2 linked regions of the Caenorhabditis elegans genome follow. The protein of the gene in region 2 purifies or fractionates together with the protein of the main gene of each other region. This does not show direct contact. Each region holds a gene or a part of one and is shown on either strand. Other genes may lie near its edges.

Evidence for each region. The genes of interacting proteins can lie anywhere in the genome.
Region 1: the proteins of srw-137 (region 2) and cpt-6 fractionate together in Caenorhabditis elegans (co-fractionation; one large-scale study listed by BioGRID). This does not show direct contact.

The regions. Positions count from the first base shown.
Region 1 is NC_003283.11:6,489,565-6,495,698, reverse strand, and holds cpt-6 (Choline/carnitine acyltransferase domain-containing protein), read left to right. Parts: upstream 1-1,777; coding exon 1,778-1,870; intron 1,871-2,084; coding exon 2,085-2,375; intron 2,376-2,421; coding exon 2,422-2,844; intron 2,845-2,983; coding exon 2,984-3,177; intron 3,178-3,976; coding exon 3,977-4,493; intron 4,494-4,544; coding exon 4,545-4,844; intron 4,845-4,891; coding exon 4,892-5,080; intron 5,081-5,255; coding exon 5,256-5,489; 3' UTR 5,490-5,613; downstream 5,614-6,134.
Region 2 is NC_003283.11:2,942,043-2,945,927, reverse strand, and holds srw-137 (G-protein coupled receptors family 1 profile domain-containing protein), read left to right. Parts: upstream 1-1,968; coding exon 1,969-2,057; intron 2,058-2,109; coding exon 2,110-2,701; intron 2,702-2,748; coding exon 2,749-2,972; intron 2,973-3,102; coding exon 3,103-3,244; intron 3,245-3,288; coding exon 3,289-3,357; downstream 3,358-3,885. Other genes in the region: srh-87 (Serpentine Receptor, class H), read left to right, coding at 246-457, 508-653, 803-1,315, 1,365-1,549.

The sequences.
Region 1 (6,134 bases), 3.5 Mb from region 2:
TCTGATAAAAACTTTTTTTTTAATCCTAGGCTACATCGTAGCACCCTAAAGCTTTCCCATTTCGACCAGCTGTGTTTGCATCCACGAATTTTCTCATAACCGCCTGCAGTGAAGATTCTCCGATAGTAGGTCAACCAGACAAACTTTCCCTCTCTATCATTTCGCCCTGCTTGTGTGTTTCCTTACTCTACATCAAACTGTTATCGGACATATTTTTCGTCGACATTTTGACCGGCGGTTATTGTACTTTTATAATTTTCCAGTGCGTTTTTAAGCTGAACTTTCATTTGAATTTTGGCGGGTTCTTTTGTAGCTTGCTCGATTTCCAGGTGACACAATTGATAGGGCTGGGAGATCTTTCAAACTTAAATCTAGAGTTGCACCAGGGAATATCATCTATATACTCGTACGATAATCTGAAATAATCGAATATCATTTTAAAACTACCGAAAATTCTTGGATTTTTCAGATTTTTCAGGAAAAATTTTGGTAAATAGCCAATTTTACCAAATTTAAAACAGGTTTTTTTGAGGAATTTGGAGCAATGCGGCATGTTTGAACTTTTTTTTATAGTAGGTAATTTTAGCACTGGTTTTAAACAGTACTCCCAATTCTTTTAAAATTATCAAAAACTCTTGATATCCCAACTTATTATTTTACTTCTGAAATTTATTTCCAAAATGAAAATATATTATTTTTAGTAGATAAATTGCACCATATTCTTTCAAACCACCTGCACCAAACCTCACAGGTCTGACTACAATCTAGTTACGACCCCTTTAAATCTAGATATTGATCGGCCTTCTATCTAGATTTTGTCCCATTGTTCCTTTTATCGACTAGAATTGTGCACACCATATGGTGTTCAATATTGCCTTTTTCCTCTTTTCCAGATACGTGTTCTACTTTTTTGTTTTCAGTTTGTTTTTGTTTTTTATAAAGCATTGAAAGTAAAATTTTTTTTAGAAATGCATATTGTTTAACTAGAATTTTTGATTTTTCCGGAATAATATTTGTTCTGTGTTACAAAATTTTTCAGAAAGCCTTTCAAAAATTTTGAAACTGAAATCTTTTTTCAAATCTTCCAAATAAAAAACATATTGAAGAATATATGACGGGTTTTTTCTAAAAAATTATTTTTCCGCAATGCTTTATTTGCAGGTTTTTCTCCAAATTTTGGTTGACAGAAAATAAATTCTATTCATAAAATATGCCGTATTTCCTTCTCACTCTACATCTCTCCATTTTCTGATGGGATTTAGAAACCCTATATTTGTTGTGCTCAGGCTTTTTTTTCGCTCATTCAACAACACGGAACAAAACTCTCGTTTTTCATCTTATTTTTTGCTTGAAGCAGACTCTGCTCACTCTACTCCACTTTGTACTCTACTCTTTTTGCTTCAAAAGCCATCGTTCTCTTATCTCAGCCATTTTTTGAAGAGTTTCCAGCACATGATTCTCTCGAAATATTTTGTTTCCTATCGATAAGATTATGAGAATGAAAGTCAACTAGAATACGATCAGAATACAATTTTGATCTTTCTCCTTTAAAAAGTCAGCAATAAGTGTAGACGGAGACTGGAGAAAAGGCAAAGTTAAATTGATAATGTAGATTAATTAGTTTTCTTTTTTTGTGATTCTCATCCCCCAATTTTATCACCACAACATCACTCACGTTCATCAAATTTGTTGTTTTTTCGTCTGCAGCCTTCTAAACTTTATTACCTATCCTGCCAATTTCAACTCTTCAATTTCAAAAACCTTACCATAATTTCAGATGTCGTCCAACAAAAAGAAAACAGTTCGTTCACCATATCCTTTTCCAACAAAATTCCCATCGCCAATTGAACAAGCATCCTACAAGACCTACGTAAGTTTTATCAAATCAGAAAATTGGCTAATTTACCTCAATTGACCTTTTCTACGTGTTGTGGGAAGTCAGAGAAAAACTAGTTGTTAAGTGGGTAGAATTTGGAATTTCGAATTGGATCTAGTTTAGGAAACAAAACACAGAAAACAATTTTTTTTTAAAACATTACCTTTTTCAAAGTTACCAAACAACCATGAAGTATCTATATTTTCAGAATTGGATTGAGAACACACTTTGGCCTATCAAACCGATTCCATTCGTTGCCACAACCGTTGCTCTGGCGGCCACCCTACACTACAAATACCCAGAAAATGCGATTCTTGATCTTCTTCCAAAGTTCGGATCGGAAGTTGCTGAAATTGCAAAAACCACTGCAGTCGCGGCAATTGGATCCTACGCAGGAGTATTCACACTTCGAAAACTTCTCAAGCACTTCTACTTCTCATACAAAGGATTCTTGTTTGACAACCCAAAGAAGCCATGTTTGAAAACGAAAATTTGGGGTGTAAGTTATTTTGTAACACCATCAGAATTTATTGTTCAAATTTCAGATTGTCCGACACATTCTCTCAATTTCCCCACCAATCCTTGAATCTTGTGATCGCCTTCTTCCGAGTCTCCCGGTACCAGCTCTCAAAGACACTATTTCTGAATACCTTGACTCCATGAAACATATTCTATCAGAACAAGAGTACGAGATTGTCGCCAAGCAAGCACATGAGTTTCTGGAAAACGAGGGAAAGAAGCTTCAGAGATACACGTGGATCTACTCTTTGTTCACCGACAACTATGTCACCTCGTTCTGGCAAAAGTATGCATATCTTCATGGGAGATACCCACTTATGATTAATAGCAGTGTTGCTCATTGTGACTTGCTCCGAGACAAAGAAGCAACACGAGCTCACAGAGCAGCTCGAGTAACCTGGATTGAAGTCATGTCGCATCTTGCAATTGATCGTCAACAGTACAAGGCGGTATGTTTTTTTTGTGATTCCTGATCGTTTGTATTTTGCCCTATTTCTTATCAGTGAATGTTACACGTCGCAATCTTGCACCGAAAAAAACCAAACAATTGTTTTGATAACATTTTATCATCAATATGAATGTTTCCAGCTTGGCGACGGACTTGTCTGCACCAGACATTACAAAAATATGTATGCAGTAACCCGAGAACCAGGGAAGAAGATTGATCAGCTGATATTGCACGGAATTCAGAAGCACATTGTAGTGGTGTTGCGTGGAAAATACTATAAGATTCACGTGGTTGATGATAAGAACAACATCTACACTGTGGAACAATTGACGAAGTACGTAAAAGTTAATCGAAAAAGGATCTGCACTACTGATATTTTATAACATCAGAGTTTATTATATTAGTCGCAAGACGCAAGTTGGAAAAATATTCTAACCAGGAAATTGCATATGGTGTAATGGAAATTGTAAAGCAAATGGCATATTTTCTAAAAGCTCATCAAAAGCTATGAAGAAAAAAGTTGCTAAAAGTTTTATCGTTTGCTAACTTTGGCAACTGCCGATATCATCTTCGAAATTGAATTCAAATATTTTTGTTAAAAACAACTCATTCAGAGATGCTGAAAAATGCGAACATCTTACTGTTAAATACCATTTTTTCTTAAAAATTCCAAAGTATAAGCTCAGCAACAATTTATTTTAGAGCAACGCTAAAACTACTGAAACTTCAAAAAATGGGGGTAGCCAAAAATACAGAGTTAATTACATATTTAAATTTTAAACACGTTATATATACACGAAATTTCAAAAATTTATTTTAAACGCATTTGGTTATCTTTATGGAAAATATGGAATTTCAAATGTGCACTGATTTTCAAATTTTTTTAAACTGAGAATTTTGGAAAATATGGAGTTTCAAATGTGCACTGATTTTCAATTTTTTTTAAACTGAGAATAATGGTGAATATGGAGTTTCAAATGTGCACTGATTTTTAAATTTCTTTGAACTGAGATGCATATAAGCGTCAAAAAAACATGCTAAAAATTTCAAAATTTAATGTCAGCAACTTGCCAAACATTTTAATAAAAATTCCAAGTAAAGCTTTAAAAATCAATATAAATAATTAATTCTAGAATTTTCCACGAAATGATTTCCCGAGACGAGAAGGAGGAAGGGGTTATTGGAAAAATCGCAGCATTGACCCACGATACCAGGGACTCTTGGCACAGAAACCGTCAAAAGTATTTCCTTGGAAACGTGAAAAATGCTCAAATCCTCAAGGAAATCGAGTGTGCTGTATTCTTTTTCACACTCGATGAGAATGATGATTATGGATATGATGAGAAGAAACCCGAAGTTCTCAGCAACTTCCTTGCCAATTGTCTTTCTGGAGATGGAACTAATCGATGGGTTGATAAGTCTCTTAATTATATTTGTTCGAAAAATGCTCGATGCGGTGGAACAACTGAGCATTCTATTGCGGATGGAGCAGAATTTGATCATATTATGGAAAACTTTGTATATGTAGATTTGGAAGTTTTGAAATACAAATCAATTGAAGAGCAAGAGAAAATGGCAGTTATTGAAGAGAATGATAAGAAATCTCTGAAGCTTGCTACTCCATTGAACTTTGAAGTTCCAGATCAAGAGGTAAGCTTCATTTTTTGCCTTACCTTTCAGGTCAAAATAATCATTTTTCAGATGCTCTCCGAGATCACTCGCTGCTACGATGCTCATCAAATCGCCAAGAATGACCTTGACCTGTATGCCCTTGCATTCCGTGATTTTGGAAAAGGACGTATCAAGAAGTGTGGTGTCTCACCAGATGCATTCATTCAAATGGCTATTCAACTTGCCAACTATCGAGATCAAGGCAAATTTGTGCTCACATATGAACCAGCATCAGCTCGATTCTTTGCAAACTCGAGGACCGAAACTTTGAGAACAGTTAACGATCACTCTTGTGAATTTGTGGAAGCTATGTTGAATGCAAATGAAACGGTAAGTTAATTTGAAGTTATTAAGACGATGAAAAATTCAAATTTCAGAAAGAAGCCAAGATTGCTCTTTTGAAAAAAGCTTGTGAAACTCATGTTCTTCGAAACAAGAAGTGTATGGTTGGGCAAGGAGTCGATCGTCATCTCTTTGTTCTGTATATTTTATCTCAAGGAACGGGGATTCAGAGTCCTTTCCTTGACAATTATATTAATCAAAAGTGGAAGCTATCTACCTCACATGTGAGTAATCATTAAAATAAGATGACATAGTGCTATGTATTTGGCAGTTGTATCACGTAACTTTCTAATAATGAGCTGAAGGATTTTAATTCAAACATTTTTCAACAATTGCTTTTTCTGGATTTTCCTAATTATTTTTTTTTTAACTTTACAATTTGAACATATCCTATTCCAGGTTCCAAACGTGACTAATCAATGCGACGAGGACACTGATTCAGACAACACTTGGCTCGGAGCATGCTTCGGAGCAGTCGCTGCTGATGGCTACGGAATCTGCTATCGCTTTGGAGGAAACCACGGAATCTTTGCAAACATCACAAGTTATCATTCCGCTGCCAACACTGATTCAACAAAGTTTGCAAAGTTGCTCTCCGAATCGTTCCACGAACTTTCAAACCTTTTCGTTTGAACCATCCCATTTTGTAACAAACGGTTTTATACCCATAACTTGTACCAATTTGAACTCATTCTGCACTATCATTCTAACCTGTTTCATATATTACTGTCACTCAGTCAATAAAATAATTTTTATTAAATAAAAAATTCTCTCGTGTATGACCCATTCAAAAATCACCTGAAATGACTCATGACCAGTTCACGATCTATGCTCAATTCTTGGTGTACACCAGACTATGACTCATGTAAAACTGGTGAAATGTCAAACAGAGTTTCCGATCAAAAATGGCAATTGTACGAGAATTTCATTTTTGATAGCATCACGTTGTGTGTGCCGATGGAAAGATGATTTTAGCACAAAAACTGCAAAAAACGGTTTTTATAGTGCACCAAAAAAGATGGAAAAAGATCTGAAAATGAATGAAATTGAAACTTAAATCTCTTAAGATTAAATATGAAATTTTGCCAATCTTTTCGGTAGGTTTTTGAAATCATGGAAACAGTTCTGGAAAGTTTGCAAACTTGACTATTTGTTTAGCTGACAAATTGTTGATGTGACTTGAATTCGCACCCTTTTCTAGATGAACTAATCCAAATTAACAAACGTAACGAAACATTTTCGAGGACAACAATCCTTTCATATTCATAACTACAGAAA
Region 2 (3,885 bases):
GAAAATATGAGTATATTGCTTTTGTAGGTTGGAAACAGAGGGTATTTGATGTTTCACAATGACCGTGCTTCCTCATTTACTCCACTAGGTTCTTAGTTGTCTTTATTTTTGTTGAGATAACCAACTGAGTCATCCTGTTCTCAGAAAACTTTTGTCATTTTTTGTTTATAGAAAACAACTGTCATATCGACCAAAAAACTGGGTTTATTCACTTCACAGTTTTTTTTTGTGAAAATCGTGTGAGCATGTCTAGTCTCCGTGAGTATTACTTAACAAACTATACAACATGTCCAAGATGCGATACGTTTTTGTGCTCTTGGCAAGACTTTTCTTACACTTCCCATTTTTTGACTGCATTTTCACTTCCAGTTTATCTTTTTGGAGGTTACTGTATCCTATACAAAAGCCCAAAGGAAATGTCAACCTATCGAATTCCGCTTTTCAATTTCCATGTTTGGTAAGTATACACATCACAAACATTGACTGTGCACATGTAGAAATATTCAGGACGTGTCTGGCGGATGTGTTTTTGAATTGCCTCGGGACACCATATATATTTCTTCCAACTCTCACGGGATTTTCAGTTGGCTTGTTGAACTTTTTGGGTGTCCCACCGAAAATTCAGGCTTGGCTGGCATTTCAGAGTCTGAATTGTAAGTTTAGGTATCCGGAAGTGTAGCAATCTGGAAGCTGGAACAGTTCCCATCAGATACATTTTAAAAATCCGCAGCCGACATTGAGCGAGATCGCGTCAGACCACACAGCGCGCAATCAATTTCACAAAATCAAAAAATTGTTTCAGTCATGTTATTATCTACAACAATATTGGTAGAAAATCGGAATAACGCAATTCCATTCAACAAGTTCAAAATAACTCGGAAAAGTACGAAAACTATTTACTATCTAACAAAACTACTGATTGGAGTATTTTACGCAGCATCATTCACATTTTTCATACCAGCAAACCAGGAAGAAGCACTCTTTAAAGTTCTCAGACGGCTTCCATGTCCTTCTCAAGACTTTTTCACGGCTTCCAATATTTTTGTATTGTGCATCGATGATTATCATATTCATTTTTTAATTGCCTTCACAGTATTAGGAGTTGTGGTAGAAGTGATTCAAATTTTGTTTTACTTGACATGTTGTGTCTACTATTTGTTTTTCTCGATTCGTTCGTTTACTTCAAAGACCACGAGAAAGTTGCAAATTAAATTTTTGGCAAGCATACTTCTACAAATTTCAATTCCTGTTTTGTTCATGTTACCGACCGCTTTTTATATTTGGTTTGCTGTTGATTTTAATTATTATAATCAAGGTTCGGAATAAATTTGTGGGTAAATTTAAACAAAAAACCAATTTTCCAGCATTAACCAATTTGTCAATTCTTCATGCTTCAATTCATGGCTTAATATCTACAGTCGCTGTACTCATTATACATCATCCTTATCGGCAGTTCGTTTTGTCATATTTCTGGAAATCTAAACCAAAACAACCCTTGAAAAATATCGATATAGATTCTGTGGTAATTACTCAAATTGTTATCAAATAATTTTTTCATAAAAGGAGTTTTTTTAATAAACTATGTTTTTTTACAAACCTTACCTTTTTTCCTACAAATCAACAAAGCCGAAGAGCAGTAGAATGCTCAAATATCACAACAGGGATGTGCTGAAATCGGAAATTTTTGACAACTTTGGCCATTGCTGGAGCAATTGCCACCCGGCCATGCTTCAAAGTGATGTCTGAACGTAGCCTGAAAATTAAGGGATAATTATCATTTCTGCAGCTTCCGTCTTCGATTTAATAATATATTTTTCTGAGACAATTCCCTTTTTTTAGTTCCAGCTTTTGAGTAAAATATTCGTTCTTCAATTCCTTCCGCAATAAATCAAAAAAAAAAATTAAATTTCTGGAGGCTTTCTGTTTTTCCATTCCTTTTGATATCAAAAAGTTTTTAGTTTTACAACAATGATTAGTGACAAATATCTTCAAATTGATTTTCCGGGCTTTGAGCATTCTACTGCTCGTCGGCTATACCGAATCGAAAGATATCTGGCGTAAGTGTCATATAAATCAAAAGAAAGGTATTTCAAGATCAGAGAGTTTCAGAGTTTTCACAGAGAAAGTTCTGTCATATGAGTCTATCATTTCAATTACTTGTATTTTGGTAAACATTTTACATTCTGCAATTCTGACAAGAAAATCTATGAGAAACTCCTCCATAAATATCATTATGACTGCAGTGGCTATTTTAGACATTTGCACATTTTTTTCAGAACTCAAGAAAATCGTCGAGCGATTTCTCCGAGATTATTACGATTGTTTTCAAAGTGAAACATATACTTTTGTAATAATCGAAACTTCGTTTCAAGTCCTCCAAGACTATTCCCGGCGGTGTTCAACGTGGCTTTGCTTTCTCATCGCGCTTATTCGAACACTAGTCATCAGAAATCCTCTGAACCAAAGCTACCAGAAATTAGCCGGTCCTGCCCTCTCTGGTTTTGCAATTCTCGGAATATTATTTTTGAGTCTTCCGATTTCAGTGGTCTTTTCTCTGGAATATGAACTAATGAAAAGTTCTGTGCCATCATTTTGTAATTCAACTGAAACAACTTACTACACAGTTATATCTGATATGTTTGCGGATAATGATGGGTATTATTTGAAAATATTTTCAATTGTTAACGGGCTCGTTTCAAATGTAATTTCTTTTCGTTAGGCCTAACTACAGGGTTTTCTAAATTCCAGATAATTCCCTGCGTGCTCTTCCCGATAGTAACTTTCCTATTGGTCGTCGAGCTCTGGAAATCGGATAAAAAGCGAAAAAATCTTTCTTCCACTGCAAATGTAAATGACTCTAGAAAAACTACTAGACTGGTATTCTACATATCTATTACGTTTTTTATCGCCGAATTTCCGCTTGGAATAACATTGGGTGCAACTTGGTTTTTTCTCGATGTTCCTGGAATGAAGTGAGTTGATCATTGCCTGAGTGACGCCACTAAGGCATCGAGGAACTCCGTTTTTGATGCAACCAGCGAAATGTCGGCCGCGCGATAAATATCTTTTATTAAATTTTAACCGGGTTGTTTTATGATTTAGATCAATAATGAGTTACTTCTACTACAATTTTTCCTTGCTCCTGTCTGCAAATACAGCTACCCACTGCATAGTTTGCTTCTTCATGTCATCTCAATATCGGATTGCTGCAAAGCAAGTAGTGTCCTGTGGATATTTGACTCAGGTTCGGGTATGTTTCAGGCTTGATGCAACATTTTGTAGATTTAGAAAAACAAAGCAACTGTGATTCAAGTCACTCACACTAGTTCTGCAAGGCGACAAGTTTTTAAAAAGTGAGGTTGACAAAATGCCGAGGACGAGTGGAAATTGCTACAATTGTATGTTAATTTACTATGATTTGTATAGCTTTTCATTCAAGTGTTTTAAGAATAAATATTTTTTTCACTATCGGTAGAACATCTTGTTTTGATCTAGCTGGTTAGAGATGAATCAAAGAGATTTCTAACACATCTATGTTTTTTTTTCTTGAAGCTAATTAATTTTTCTCGAATTTTTTCTTTTGATTCATAATAACACGACGAAAAACATTGTCTTGTGTTTTTATCAGCTCCGCGCTTTGTTCAAAATATCAGAGAAAACCCGTTTCACATACATAGGTATATTCAAAAACTTTCAAATTATTCCAAAAGCTTGGGCCAAAAATTTCTGATTTTCAACTAAATTGGTGAAAATATTTAATTTAACTGTGCATTCCTGACTCACAAAAACAAAATTTCAACTATCCCCACTACACTCTGAGAAATTAAAAAAACCGGACGGCTTACATCCGGCATTAAATGTGGTGTAGTCAAATTTTTTTGTTGT